Linked DNA regions of Xenopus tropicalis. The protein of the gene in region 1 purifies or fractionates together with the protein of each later gene. This does not show direct contact. Links are inferred from orthologs where the notes say so. Each region holds a gene or a part of one and is shown on either strand. Other genes may lie near its edges.

What was found. Proteins that work in one complex are often made in the same cells at the same time.
Region 2: the proteins of dcaf6 (region 1) and tnnc2 purify together in Homo sapiens (affinity purification with mass spectrometry; 3 studies listed by BioGRID and IntAct, with this or other methods). This does not show direct contact. The link is inferred for Xenopus tropicalis from reciprocal best matches to the Homo sapiens genes DCAF6 and TNNC2.

The regions. Positions count from the first base shown.
Region 1 is NC_030678.2:72,900,042-72,907,050, reverse strand, and holds the start of dcaf6 (DDB1- and CUL4-associated factor 6), read left to right. Parts: upstream 1-2,306; 5' UTR 2,307-2,525; intron 2,526-2,722; 5' UTR 2,723-2,762; coding exon 2,763-2,853; intron 2,854-7,009. UniProt on the Homo sapiens protein: Ligand-dependent coactivator of nuclear receptors. Enhance transcriptional activity of the nuclear receptors NR3C1 and AR. May function as a substrate receptor for CUL4-DDB1 E3 ubiquitin-protein ligase complex.
Region 2 is NC_030686.2:19,703,871-19,710,846, forward strand, and holds the start of tnnc2 (troponin C, skeletal muscle), read right to left. Parts: upstream 3,641-6,976; 5' UTR 3,575-3,640; coding exon 3,572-3,574; intron 1-3,571. UniProt on the Homo sapiens protein: Troponin is the central regulatory protein of striated muscle contraction. Tn consists of three components: Tn-I which is the inhibitor of actomyosin ATPase, Tn-T which contains the binding site for tropomyosin and Tn-C.

The DNA.
Region 1 (7,009 bases):
AAGAGCAGGCAGGCGTCCCCGCAACGGAGGAGGCAGCGGGCATCCCCGCCGCCCCAATAGACCACCAGGTACCTTTACACTGTCCTTCATAAAGCCATACTGATTACTGCTCATAATACCATTCTCCCGAATATAATTTTGAATGTGATCCCTTAACAAGCCTTTAAATAACTTGCTCACCACAGATGTCAAACTTACTGGTCTATAATTGCCAGGCTAAGATAATCCCTTTGTAAATGTGCTTTGGGTGTAGGATCCACTTCACTCATTGTTTTATATAATAGTGATACCGTTGCCTCCTGGTCATAAATGTCTTAACATGAGTCTCCCAAAGCACCAGTGCCTTGTCTTGTTTGGAATCAACAATTTAAGCAGATACATGCACAGAAGCTGCCTACTATGTTCCTCCACATGATTTATAATAAAGCAGTGGGCTAGTGGCACAGAGCTGTGCTTGGTGGTGGCAAGAGTTTTAAAATTGTAAAGAAAAAAGCTCCCTCTTTTTACAAAATGATATCATGAAAAACATTTCAACACATCAAAACATGTAAGGGTTGATTCACTAAAGGTTGATATTTCGAGCGCTATTTATAGCATGCATTAAAAATTTTATCGTGTCTAATTTTTCGTGTCTTAACGCACAATTCACTAAAAGTATATTTGCGTTAATTTAGACGCGATGCTGTTTGCGTTATTTAAGTTGCGAAGACTATTTTCGTGCGGTATTTGACGCAACGCGCGCTAATTAACGCAGCGTGCTACTTGTCGCGAGTGCTAATTCATGCACGTGTGCTACGTATCACGCGCACGCCAAATTAGCCATACACACCATTACATTCGTAAAAGTACTTTTTTTTTAAAATGACCATTTCCCTGCAAACTGGAGGATGCATCACTCTAGGGCCAACACATATTTGAATAAATCGCACTGCAAACTCCATATTGTGTTGCCAAAAGCTCATGAACTGTAGGTGTTAATTTTTGCATAGAGTAATGCGATATTTAGCGTGTCTAAGGGGCATTTACCAAAGCACAAATTCGAATCCCGAATAGCAAAAATTCGGATTGGAAACGAAAATTTCATGACTTCTTCATCGCCGTCGCAACTTTTTCCTATTTTTCGCGACTTTTTTGTCGCCGTCGTGACTTTATCGTATTGAACGATCGTAAACGGCGGAAAAAACCTTTCCGACTTTGCATGATTTTGGAAGCCTCACAGAGGAATAAATGGCACTCTGCAGCTCCAACCTGGCCAAAGGAAAGTCAAAATACTGAAGCTTGAATGAATCCGAAACTTTGGTACTTGGCGCAACAATACGTTTTTTGCGACGGCGACGAAATAGTCGCAAAAATACCGATCATTGCGAAAAAAACAGATTCGGACGCATTCAAAGCGTTCGTGCCTTAGTAAATCTCCCCCTAAGTGTTTGTGAATCATGCATTAGTATTATTTCTGCGAGCTAATTAACGCAATGCTTACCGCATTGCGTTAATTAGCTCGCAGAAATAATACTAATGCATGCGCTTGCGCGCTATTTAACGCATACGATATGCGACTTAATGCATGCGATAATACTTTAGCGAATCGCACGTTTTTTGCACATCAATTTTAACACAAAAAGCATGTGAGAAGCGTTATCGCACTTTAGTGAATCAACCCTGTAGTGTCCAATAAAGACAAATATTGCAGCATTATATCATTGCAGTTCTAGTCTGCTTCCATTAACATTTATACCTAAAACAAAAAACCCTTATTAAGCAAGAAGCCCTATAATGAGACTTCACTGGGAACCAAGGAGAAGTGTAGATGTGACAGCTTTTACCATCCAGCACATTTTAAGAAGGGAAAATGCACTCCTAGCAACACTTGTGCGTGGTTCCTATACAAATTAAAGCGAACAATGTGTAGAATTTGCTACATCTGTCATTATCTTTTATGTCATGGCCATCGTATTGCCAATTATAGCCTCACAAAGGAAAATAAGAACCCTCCCGCGTTTATGAAAGTCGCAAAAGTAAAAGGAGCTATATCCCACAATTTACTAAAAAATCTCTTGTGCTTTGGTTGCAACCAAATACAAACAGCCCGAACTCGAGCAATATTTTCTCCAACTAACTCTGCAGCTCCCCCACCCATTCAGATTCTGTAACTCCTCCTATATTACAGGTCATGGTGACGTATTGAGCTGAGCAATTCCATTTCCATCCTAGGCTCTTTTCTATTTCTGTCACTGCTACAGCTGCTGCCACTCATCACCTCCACCACAAACAAACAAACACGGTTCGCTGGTCGGAGAAGTGGGTAAGATACATGGCTGTCAGAGCGTCCTTTACCGCTTCCGGCCCTGTGTATTGCTCGCACTGAGCGCCTGACAGAACTTTACAGCGGGAGCCTGTAACAGGCAGAGTGGCCGCCTTCCTTTAAGCTGTAGTCGTGCACAGTTTTTCCCGATGAAGTCAAGCATCTGCGCTTTTGTTTAGTCACGAGTCGCTATTACCTTGCGCTAAGAAATCCGATTGCCATTGTAAGTAAACCAATCAGGAAGCAGAAACATAAGTGAATGGCGTACCACATCTCAGGCGCTACATAAGCTGTTTAACAAATGACACTGTCGTGCCATGCATTATTTGTATTATGGATACAGGCTAGTGCTAAACATGATTGGAGATCCATAACAGATAAAACAAGTAACTTTTTTTGTTTTTTTTAAATCCTCTCTAGTTGGACAAGCCAGCCTGAAAGGATATACAGGAACTGGACTATGTCACGGTGCTATTCTGGTCTAATATGGGATGTACGGAAACGCTCTCTTGGATTGAGTGAGCCCGATGTGGTCCGTAGCAACTATTTGGGTGAGTGTTTTTGCCAGGAGAAACAAAGGTCACACGCTAACGACTTATATAGGTATAACAACAACCCATGTTGAACCATATTTATCCAGACAAAATTGAAGAAGTTCCATATTTTGCCTGCAAATGCTTAGGGGGCAATTCACAAACAGTCAGATTTTTTTTCTGATTTGGATTTTTTTTTGTGCTAAAAGTCAAAGAATAAGAGTTTACTATGCGTCAAAACGGCTAAATAACTGAATCTGACAATTTGCCAAATAAAACCTGACAATATCATGTAGAAGTCTATGGCAGATGTCCCTTTTTTCCCTGGAGGATCCTTCATTTGGTTCAAAACTTTAGAGGTTTTGGATTTTTGTGCAAAAAAAGTAGAGGTTTTTATGTGACAATTAGAAAAGATTGCAGTTTTGCAACTTTTCTACAACTTTTTCCTGCACAGACTTTTTCAGTTCAGACTTTTAAGTATATTCGTGGAAATTAGTTTATTTAAATTTTTAAAAAGAAAAAAAATGAGGTTAGAGTTTTAGTAAATCTGCCCGTTAGTGTAATTGTTTCCTTGATAAAAGATTAAGCCATTGACTTTGGTTTAATCCTGCAAGTGCCAGCAGAATTTATAATTTCATTCACTCTCTTTTTTTGAGCATTTTGTTTTCTTTCTCTCTTCAGGGGCATTTAGCTTTATCAAGGAAAACTAGAAATAATGTTTTTAGAACAACCTAAGCTTTCTAAATCTCTTTGTGGTTTTGTGTAATTCAACTTCCAAAACAAGAAGCCTCTAAATGCCAATAATTTACCAATGAGGACACTCAGTAAATTGTCAAACTGGGAAAAAAAAAGATAATAGAAAAAAAAATGTAATAACAATGTAACACCATCTAGGTACAATCTAATAAAACATGTCACACAATTGTATGGGGTATCTGGTTGCTGTAGAGCGACAGGAACTGAAAGAGAGTCATGGCCAGGCTGCAGGTCCAGAGACCGTACTATAAAAACATTACACATATCATTAAAAAATTGTATACGTGTGCATGTGTGTGTACACTAACTGTGAGTGTCTGCAAACTCAGGCCCAAACCAGAATGCCCCCACCACGATGTTTCACAGATGGGATAAGGTTCTAATGCTGGAATGTAGAGTTTTTTCTTCGGCGTCATCCATCCACAAAACATTCTTCCAGTATACTATAATATATATATATATATATATATATATATATATATATATATATATATATATAATAAATAAAATAATATTTTTGGGGGGGTGGCAGTGGCTTTCTCCTTTCTACCTTGCCATACACACCATTGTTGTTCAGTGTTGTCCTAATGGTGGACGCATGAACACCAACATTTGCAAATGTGAGACAGGCCCTCAGTTGTTTAGAGGTCCCTTTGTAACCTCTCAGACTATTAGATACTTTGCAGTTGGATTTATTTTTGATGTTTAGTCACTTCTGGGAAGGGTAACAATGGTCTAATTACCCCCATTTGTACGTAATCTGTCTGACTGTTGATTGGTCCAAACTCTTTAGAGGTAGTCTTGTAACCTTTTCCAGCTTTATGAGCATCAATAATTTTTTTTCTAAAGTCTTCAGACATGTCTTTTGTTCAAACCATGATACACATCCACAAATGTGTTTGTGTGATCAGTCTTTGATGGATTCCCGTTTTTGAAATTCACACCAGATTGTCGTCACACGAATGAAAACACCAGACTTCGATTTCACCTTCAAATTATGATAATCCTAAGGATTCACTTACTTTTGCCACATGCATATATCTTAAGGGATAATTTTTTTCAATAAATACATGACCAAATATAAGACTTTTTGTTTCAATTTTTTTAGCCAAATTTTCTTCATCTACTTTTAGGACTTGTTTGAAAATCAGATGATGTTTTAGTTTATGATGTTTTAGTATAAAAATATAGAAAATTTTAAATTGTTCACAAACCTTTTTTTTTTTTTTAAGCAAACTTTCATGTAAATGATTAAATAGCTTGAAAATCCAGAATACCGCTATCCTCATAGTACTTTTTATGTTACATTTGCCTTAAAAAAATTGTATTAACACTATATAGGTATATTTACCTGGGTTTTACATACAGTAAAAGTTTTTAACATTAAAATGGATTTATACCAGCTTAGTTAACTTTTAGTTCAAGGCAATGTCTTATTACACAGAAAATGCAAATTAGACATCAACAAAAGATTTTTTTTTCTTTTTAATTAAAAAAAACACTTTTGGGAAATAGCAGTGCTGCATTTTGTAGCTTTTATAATAATGGTTTTCCAGGCAATAGACCCTTATATACAAGGGTTGGATTGGCCTGCAAGAGTACAATGGAATCTTGTTGTTGGCCCCACTTTTGTACAGTCTACCTTAGAGGCAATTTACATCAGTACCATTTAGCATATTTTATATCTAACAGTCTTTAGAATGGCCCCTGGATGTCAGCTTTCTGTTGGGTCCTTAGAAGCTCAGTCTTGAGAACTGACCTTTTTAAATATCTGCAGGGCTGTTTTTTCAGAAAGGACAGCCCTAGGCCCATGAACCAGCCATCATCTTCATACTCAGCCCTTGGTGAGCTTGTTTGTTTTGAAGCATCTAGGGTTTACATGAGATTTAAAAAAAAGAAAAAAAAAAAAGTGAAAATGTCCTGCGCGTCCAGTCCCCAGCGCTCCGGAACAAACAAGCAACTGCAGATGCAGCCTTGCTACAAATACTAGCCTGTGCATCTGTAATGTTTGCTGAGACCTCATTGTACTTTGAGATTAGTGATCAGTATCAGAACAGGTAAGAGAGTTTGTTTTAATATTAATTTGTTACAATTTAGGTGGGGAAAACTGTAAAAGAAGACTTGCATAGTCAAGATGGTATTACACTGCATAAGTCCTTTCAGAACTGACATCTGGACAGCAGGAATATTTTCTGTTAGCAAAGATATTTTCTAGTTCTTTAGTTCTGGTGTATTTGTGCTTGAAAATAGACTGTCATCTTGAAAAAAGTTAGATTTATGTGTGGGAAACCACGTTAATGGAGTAGTTTATATCCTTGTAGTTCTCTGACTGTATCTTTTCCTGTTAAAAATGAATTGCTCCCTGTGGAGGCAACCTCAGAATTACTATCAATATGTGCATAAACCATATAGAAATAAACAAGGGAATTTTGCACAGCTGGTACCTCAAAGACTTGCACATATATTTACAAGCATGTCTTTGCTTGGGTGGAGACATTATGTACATAGATGTATTCATAAAGGAAAATATACTCCCTTTGACATGATCCTATTTAGCTGGGGTTTTGTAGAAAAGATGCACTTTTCCACAAAACTACCTAAACTTGCAAATATAAATTTCCCAGAATTCATAATTTTACAATGGGACAAGATGAGGGAGGGGCTTGATCAGTGTGAGCCCAAGGCGGTGGAAAAAATTGTCCCTACAGGCAAAGACAGATTTTTATGGTTTCCTTTCAGTCTATAAATTAGGTATATCTGTGTCAAAAAAAAGAAAAACTAATATATTTTTTTTTGGAAGTAGTATTGTTTGTAATGTAGTGTTAAAGACCACTGAAAGTCAAAATAAGTGGGATATATTTCCCCTTTACAGATCTATTATGTAGATCTATTATATATCTAATATTTCTTTGAATATAAAGGTCTGGTCTGTAGTCTATTACATAGGCAACTTCACAGAAGACACAGCCGGCTCCTGCTCTGGAAATAGAATCAGTATCAATTTAAGATTTGTCTCTTGTAATGCTGTTAGCTTATAGAAATTCCCCATCCATGGACAGTATAATACCAACAATAATTACCAACAATACAAGGCATACTAACTAGGTAGTTCTATAGAAAAAGTATTGCACATGCAGGGCCGTATTTAATGTATAGGTACTTGAGGGGACAGCTTTCGCGGGGTGGCCCTCAGGTGCTTATACGGGTAAAAAAAAAAACCTGCCACCGCATATTTGCCTATTCTTTTGGCAAAGCTATGGGAATGGTCCTTAAGGTTCAAGTTGCTTCATTCTCAGTACCACACTTTCACTGTTTGGGTTGGGGTGGCACGAGGTGAGCATGCTGAGGGCTATTCCTAGGTCGGCACTGGGCCAGTTCATATGCAACTTACATAAATCTGCGGACAGATCCCTTTGTC
Region 2 (6,976 bases), on another chromosome or scaffold:
ATTTAAGGTGGCCACACACGGACCGATTGTAGCTGCTGATATCGGTCCCTTGGACCAATTCAGCAGCTTATTGGCCCGTGTAGGGGCAGGAACGAGGGGAATGCCCGACCGATGGGGCAGGTTAAAAGATTGCCCCATTGCCGCCATTGTTGCCTACATGTTCCCCGATATCACCCACCCGTAAGTGATCTTCACGTGTATGGGCACCTTTAGTGTGTTGAGTTTTCCTATTGTTCCTCCATGTGTGAAGCCCAGGGTACTTGTCCCGGCAGCTGTATGGCTGGGATCACAGTGATAAAAACTGACTCAAGGTGAAGAAATTTTGAGCGTATTGGACTGTGGATGTTTGTGAATAAGCCCATAGCAGGTATAAAAGTGCAAAATGCAAACATAGATATACTACTATTCACACACATCTATAATACAGTTGTGTTTTTTTCTTTCTAATGGTATTAATATTTGCCTGTGTGTGGCTTCTGTCTGTGGCCCATGGTCTGAATTTATTTTGTGGTTGGAGTAATTGTGTATCTGTGTTGCCAAAACATCAACCAAACTGCTACTGTGCCAGTATTTGTAGGTATTTATTTAATAATGTTTAGCTTAAATTGTTAGTGTCTGTTAAGTAAAACATCCTGAGAAGATGGCTTAACTAAAATCAGAGTTTGGAATCTGTCTGTGGAATTTACATGAGTCTTTCCCTGTGGAAGAATGCCAAGGCAAAGTTCTATTTTTGAAGCTATGGAGAAAAGGGGAAAGTGTAACATTTTATAGATATGGAGCTAATGAATTGACTAGCTACCCAGAGGAGAAGGTTAGGCAGGGAGGTCAAAATGCTGTTGTTGGACCCATCAACCACAGAGAGTATATATCCCCTGTGTAAGTAATGGAATGTCCATAAATGCCATATAAATTTATGAGGCATAAAAGAGACCAAAAAACACATTGGGTATAGGACAGTGGGGTTCTAGAAAATTTTGCCATAAAGCATCCTTCTGCTGTTGTTTTATGATAAGCAAAAAGAAGGTGCTGGTTGTAAACAACTGCAAAAAGATCACCATAGAAGATATGATGATTTTAAAGAACAATCATAACCAATAGAAGACAATGTTACTAGGCAATGATCTCTAGGGTAGAATCTGTTTTTGCCCTGGTCTTTGTAGTGGGAGAATTTGCAAGTAAGAAGTCTGGCTGGATACCAAGTTATGCATGGGGGGGGAGAGAAGTAGGGTGATGTAAACTGAAGCCAAGCTCCTTGGAAAGTGTGAACATATTTGTGGGAAAGATGAAACCTTGCCGGACCTTCACACGGAACCAATAGCTTGACACCGAACCTTGAGAATCTCTTTCCTTAGAACCCTTTCATCTAGAACCACCTGGAAAGTTTGATCCATTACCTTTAAACTGAACTTTTTCTTTCCTCTCCATATGGATCCTTTTAAGGAACAGTAACATCAAAAAATTTATATATTTCAAAGAAATTAAACTATAATGTACTGCTGCCCTGCACTGGTAAAAGTTTTGTGTTTGCTTCAGAAACATTACTAGAGTTTATATAAACCCTGGTGTGTAGCCATGGGGGCAGCCATTCAAAAGAAGAAAAGGCACAGATTATATAGCTGATAACAGATAAACCCTGTAGAATACAATGGTGTCATATCTTATCTGTTATCTGCTATGTAACCTGTGCCTTTTCTCCTTTTTTCCAGCTTGAATGGCTGCCCCCATGGCTACACAGCAGCTTATTAATATAAACTATAGTAGTGTTCCTGAAGCAAACACCCCAGTTTTACCAGTGCAGGGCAACAATACATTATATTTCAATTACTTTAAAACACTTTCATTTTTTGGTGTTACTGTTCCTTTAAGAGCATATGTAGCCATTAATATAATATGCAACATATACAACCTGTTCAGAGTATATGGACCTATATGGAGCTGTCAGAGTATATAGACCTAAATGTGGATTTATTTTCAGTCTCCAAAAAAGGTGCAACTTTTACAAACCACTATAGAGACACCCCACTTTTTTGCAAAATACAATATCATTATGCACTTTCTTTTACCTTTATATTACAGCTATTACCTTCTTCACTTTGTTTCTGCACCCCTCCAGTTCTTACTCCCCCCCACCCACATTCGATGCAAGCCAGTAATCGCAAATGTGATTTTTTGGAGTTATAGATCATTAAAAATGGAGGAACACAGCCAGGACACTTTTGTTTTAAACTTTGTAGTTTTCCTATTTAATGTTTTTGAGGCATCCCCTACACCAATCCCATTCTTCACAGCAAAAAAACAGAATGCACATTTTCCAACATACAAATATAAAAGCAAACCAGATCTTCCTGCCAAGCACACATTTAGCATATATGGCACCCCAGAGATATATATCCCAACCCGGCATGAAAATTCCTCCTGTTTTTATAGACCATATACACAGCATTAAGCATAATTGTAGCCCAGAATTCATACTTTCCTGTGCCAATGGGGTGTCATAGCTAATAACAGAACTGTGCCAGTCTGTAAATGGATCTTAGCACAATATTAATTAAGAAAATTCCTTTACAAGCTAAAGCATTCTTTGTTTCTGTGCATTCTGTGCATTTTACTGCCCCTACTATGAACGTTCCCCTAGCAACCATACACACAGTGCACTGGCACTAGCAGAGAAAGAGTTAACTCTTTTATTGGTCTTAAAATAACCAGTGACAGAGAAAGCATAAAACCCAACCAATGCCTTAGCATATTCTTATGATCTGTGGGGGTGGTAGCTGGGGCCTGTAGCGGATAGATGTCCAGCAATATAAAAGCCAATCCTAAAATCCTGACATTATCCAAGCCAGAAATACAAAGCCTGCCAGTTTTAGAGCCAGCTCTTTAAAACCCAGTTCTTGTTCTAAATAAGGTTCGACAAAGCCAAACTGATATTATGTCCGTGGGAAAGCCCTGAGAATCTGGTATCAGGTATATTAACCATCTAATAGCAACTGCAAAGCTAAAATCTACCCTGACTGTTACCATATTATAGTTACCCTTTAATATTAGTTACAAGATAAAAGCAAATAATTCAATAAATCTAACACAAGGTTAAAACTCTTTCATCATAAACACAATAGGATTACTTGTAGTAGCACAAAACACCTCTTATTAAGTGCTATTGTAGCAGAGGAACTGTATCTGTAGGGCACAGTAAAGTTTAGTTCAGTCCAGGCAAGCTAGAGGTGATGAAAGTTTCTTTTTGAACCTCACTATAAAGCTGTGACATTTGCCACTCTCTGGCTCGGGTCTTGGTGACAAAGCATTCCTTCCTTGATGTCCCTGGTGATGGATGATCAGAGAAGGAATGGTGACAGAGGCAGCATGTCATTCATATCTGAGTAGCCACAATGTTAGAGATTTGTTCGGCAGTTCTGGGTAGAGTTGCCATCTCTTATGACAGAAGACCCCACTGCCCCCTTTAACTCCAAAGACTTGGCACAATTGCACCTCTTGTCTCCTTTTTTGTCATTTTGTAGGATGCAGATGGATACAGCCTTTCAGTTCGCACCCCCCCAACCTCAGGGACACTTACCATCTTGGCAGGTCACCCCAAATGCCTGCAGAGGAGAAGGATGGCAGGAGGTATCTGTTTCCTCTTCTGTACAGACCCCCAAAGCTTTTCTACAAACAGTCCCCCTCTAATTTGTACTGTGCCCATTCACACACCTGCTCCCCCTTCTGCCCTGATTGGATGCCACTAACTTAAAACACCCCCACTCCCAATCCCATGCCAGCTTACCCCTGATTGGAGGGAGAAGCCTTTTACCAAATTTAGCTTGTGCTGGGGGGGCAGTCAACACAAAAATAAAAGACCAGGTAAAGAGGGAGGGGACACTGATGAGTGTGAACACATGGTTCTCCTCTTACTGTAAATAGTTAAAGGGAATTTCCAGCACTAAACACCCCCCCACCCATCCATTCCCTCCCCACGAGAGACTTCCATCCCCCGGATTTATGACAAGGGCTGCAAGAGCCAGAGAAGAATAGTATCAAATGATCCCCCCAGCCCACCCACCCTCCCTTCACAAGGAACCAGATTAGAAGGAGAAGCAGCTGCAAACGTGACCAGCAGTGGCACAAGAAGCAGGGCAATCCATTGGCAATTGCACTGGCAGGCAAGCTCCATACAAACGGCTTTGGCAGAGGCAGGAAGAACTGCAGGACAGGCATAGAGCTGCCTTTCAGTGGGTGCAAATAGGAGTGACTGAACTGAGTCATACTGTAGGGACCAGCTGACCAGCAGTTTTAAGTTGCATCAGTAACACATGTGTGGCCCAGCCAGTGGCCCTTCAGCTGTTGTTGAAGTACAATTTTCAGCAGCCAGTGGCTGGGAGCTATAGTTCAATACACACTAAAGTGCTGCAGGTTAAACAGTTCTACTTTATGCAGAACACACAATGGCTGCTTTTTGGATAACGAAAAAAGCAGATTCTGTTCAGTGCCAGAAAGCTAAACCATTCAGCAGGACTTGCTGTGACATAATTAGAATTTGCTTGACCCCACATTTTATAATAACTTTATCTTTTTTTCTGTATGTTCATCTAATCAGTGCTAGAGTAGGCCTCCTAGAGTCCACCAGAGAACCTGACACCCAGGAACGATTGTGTATAATCTACAGCACTTAGAGGCTTCTGGGAATTTTGGAACAAGAGTTGGAGAGCTGCAGACTGGGCATCATCAACATAAAATCCAAAAGTGTGTACCTGGCCTATACTAACATAATCGCCACCTAATGTCTCCACTTACATCCACTCTATACCACCCCCCTTTAGTTGCTGTCCCACCCCAGCTTTAATTTTTATTTTTAAAAGGTGGCAACCCTACCAATAAATACATAATGCAAAATATGCAAAGCTTTTGCATCTTGTATCACGCCTGCAAGCCCTGTGCATTCGGGCAAATGCCAGAGGGGCTGCAGTAAGATGCCATAGACACCACCAGCCCACTATTTTTTGGGCTGGTGGGGGTTGTTTGGGCCTCTCTGCCCTTGAAATGCCAGGGCCGATTTTGAATCTCAGTCTGGACCTGGACCTGCATACCTATGAATACACCACTGCCTGTTTTTGGCAGCACTGTATCCATAAGGTCATGTTGTGTGCTACATCTTTCAGACATGCAAACTAGGGAGTGCCAGTGGGATGCAAGGCAGAAGGAAACTCTATCCATACTAAATCCATATGGCCTGGATGGGTCCTATGGTACATAGTTTTGCACCCCTTGGGGCTCCAGCACAGACCTGGACTGGAATTCAAAATAAGCCTGTCATGAATCGGCGACGCTCCCTACCTGGCGTGCGGCGGCGTCCTCCCTCCCGGCGCGGCAAATCCAAGATGGCGGCGCCCAGGGCTCCACGTGGGCGCAAGGACGCCGGCGCGATGACGTCACGCGCTATGGCGCAAAGGACGCCAGAGACCCAGGTTCAATGCCCGAGTATAGCTCAACATACCTATTGTGTTCCTGGGTCTCTAATATTCTCATCTGCTTTCCTGTTGCTGTTTAATTGCCTGTTCCTGACCTTGAACCTTGCTGCCTGCCTTAAGTGACCTTTGCCTGAACCTGACCTCTCTATTGGATTATCCTGCATCTGTACTTCGCTCGGACTCACTGGAAGCGGCCTTCCTCCTTGATCCTGACTTCACCCCTCCCGTGGGTGCCGGAGGCCCCCGCTGACATTATACTCGGGCCATGGATCCCGAGGAAGCGGTACCGGACGTCGGAAGAGCCCTTCGCGGGCTGGCGTCCCGTATGGAGGCGTATGAATCCCAGCAAGTCAGAATTGGGCAAGTACTTGATTCCATTTTGTCCCGTTTGCCCGCTACTCCCGCTGTCGCGGAAATTCCTCCTGCTGTGGTGGTTCCTCTGCCAGCGATGTCGCCAGCTCGTGAGCCACGAATACCTCCTCCTCCGCGCTACAGTGGCAATCCGCAGGCCTGCAGGGGATTCGTGACTCAATGCCAGATTCAGTTTGAGTTCCAACCTTCCCAATTCTCCTGTGAGCGAGCGAAGGTGGGCTACGTTATGTCTCGTCTGGAGGGCAAACCACTGGAATGGGCAACTTCTCTCTGGGAGAGTCAGTCACCCCTGACATTTGATGTGAAGGAATTTCTACAGATGTTCAGAACCATCTTTGATGCCCCTGGTCGGGTCGCTACTGCCTCTTCACGCCTGCTGCAAATCCGCCAGGGCAGTCTCGGTGCCAGTGAGTATGCCATAGACTTTAGAACCCTCATGGCGGAAACTTCCTGGAATGAAGAGGCTTATAAGGCAGTCTTCTACCAAGGCCTATCGTCCCGTCTGAAGGATGACCTGGTATCCAGAGATCTACCTGACTCCCTTGAAGATTTGATTGCTCTCGCTATTAAGGTAGACACTCGCCTTAAAGAACATCAGGCTGATAAAGAGCGGAGTAAAAAGTCTCATCCAGTCCTGGCTCCGCGCTTCCAGAACCCTATGATACCCCCGTCTTCTCCGCAGTTTACCACTTCCCCTTCGGAGGAACCCATGCAACTTGGGAAGGCTCAACTATCTGCACAAGAGAAGCTTCGGAGACGCCTTTCCGGCCTATGTCTGTACTGCGGCGGACAATCCCACTTAGCGGTTTCCTGCCCTGTCAAGCTGGGGAATACTCCTGCTTCAAGTAAGACTGTTGTTTCTTTTGCTGGTAGTATTGTTCCTAAGTCAGCGGAACAATCTCACCAATTTCATGTTCCTGTGCAGATCCGATTGCCCTCCCAGGCAATTCCAGTCTCAGCCTTCCTTGATTCCAGAGCTGCAGGAAACTTTATGGACTTGGCATTCGCAAAAAAGGTTGGCATTTCCCTCTTTCCAGTGACTCCTCCTATTCGGGTCTTCGCCATCGATGACAGACCTCTCTCCACGGACACCATCACTTTAACCACCGGTGAACTATCTGTCCAGATTGGAGCACAACATCTGG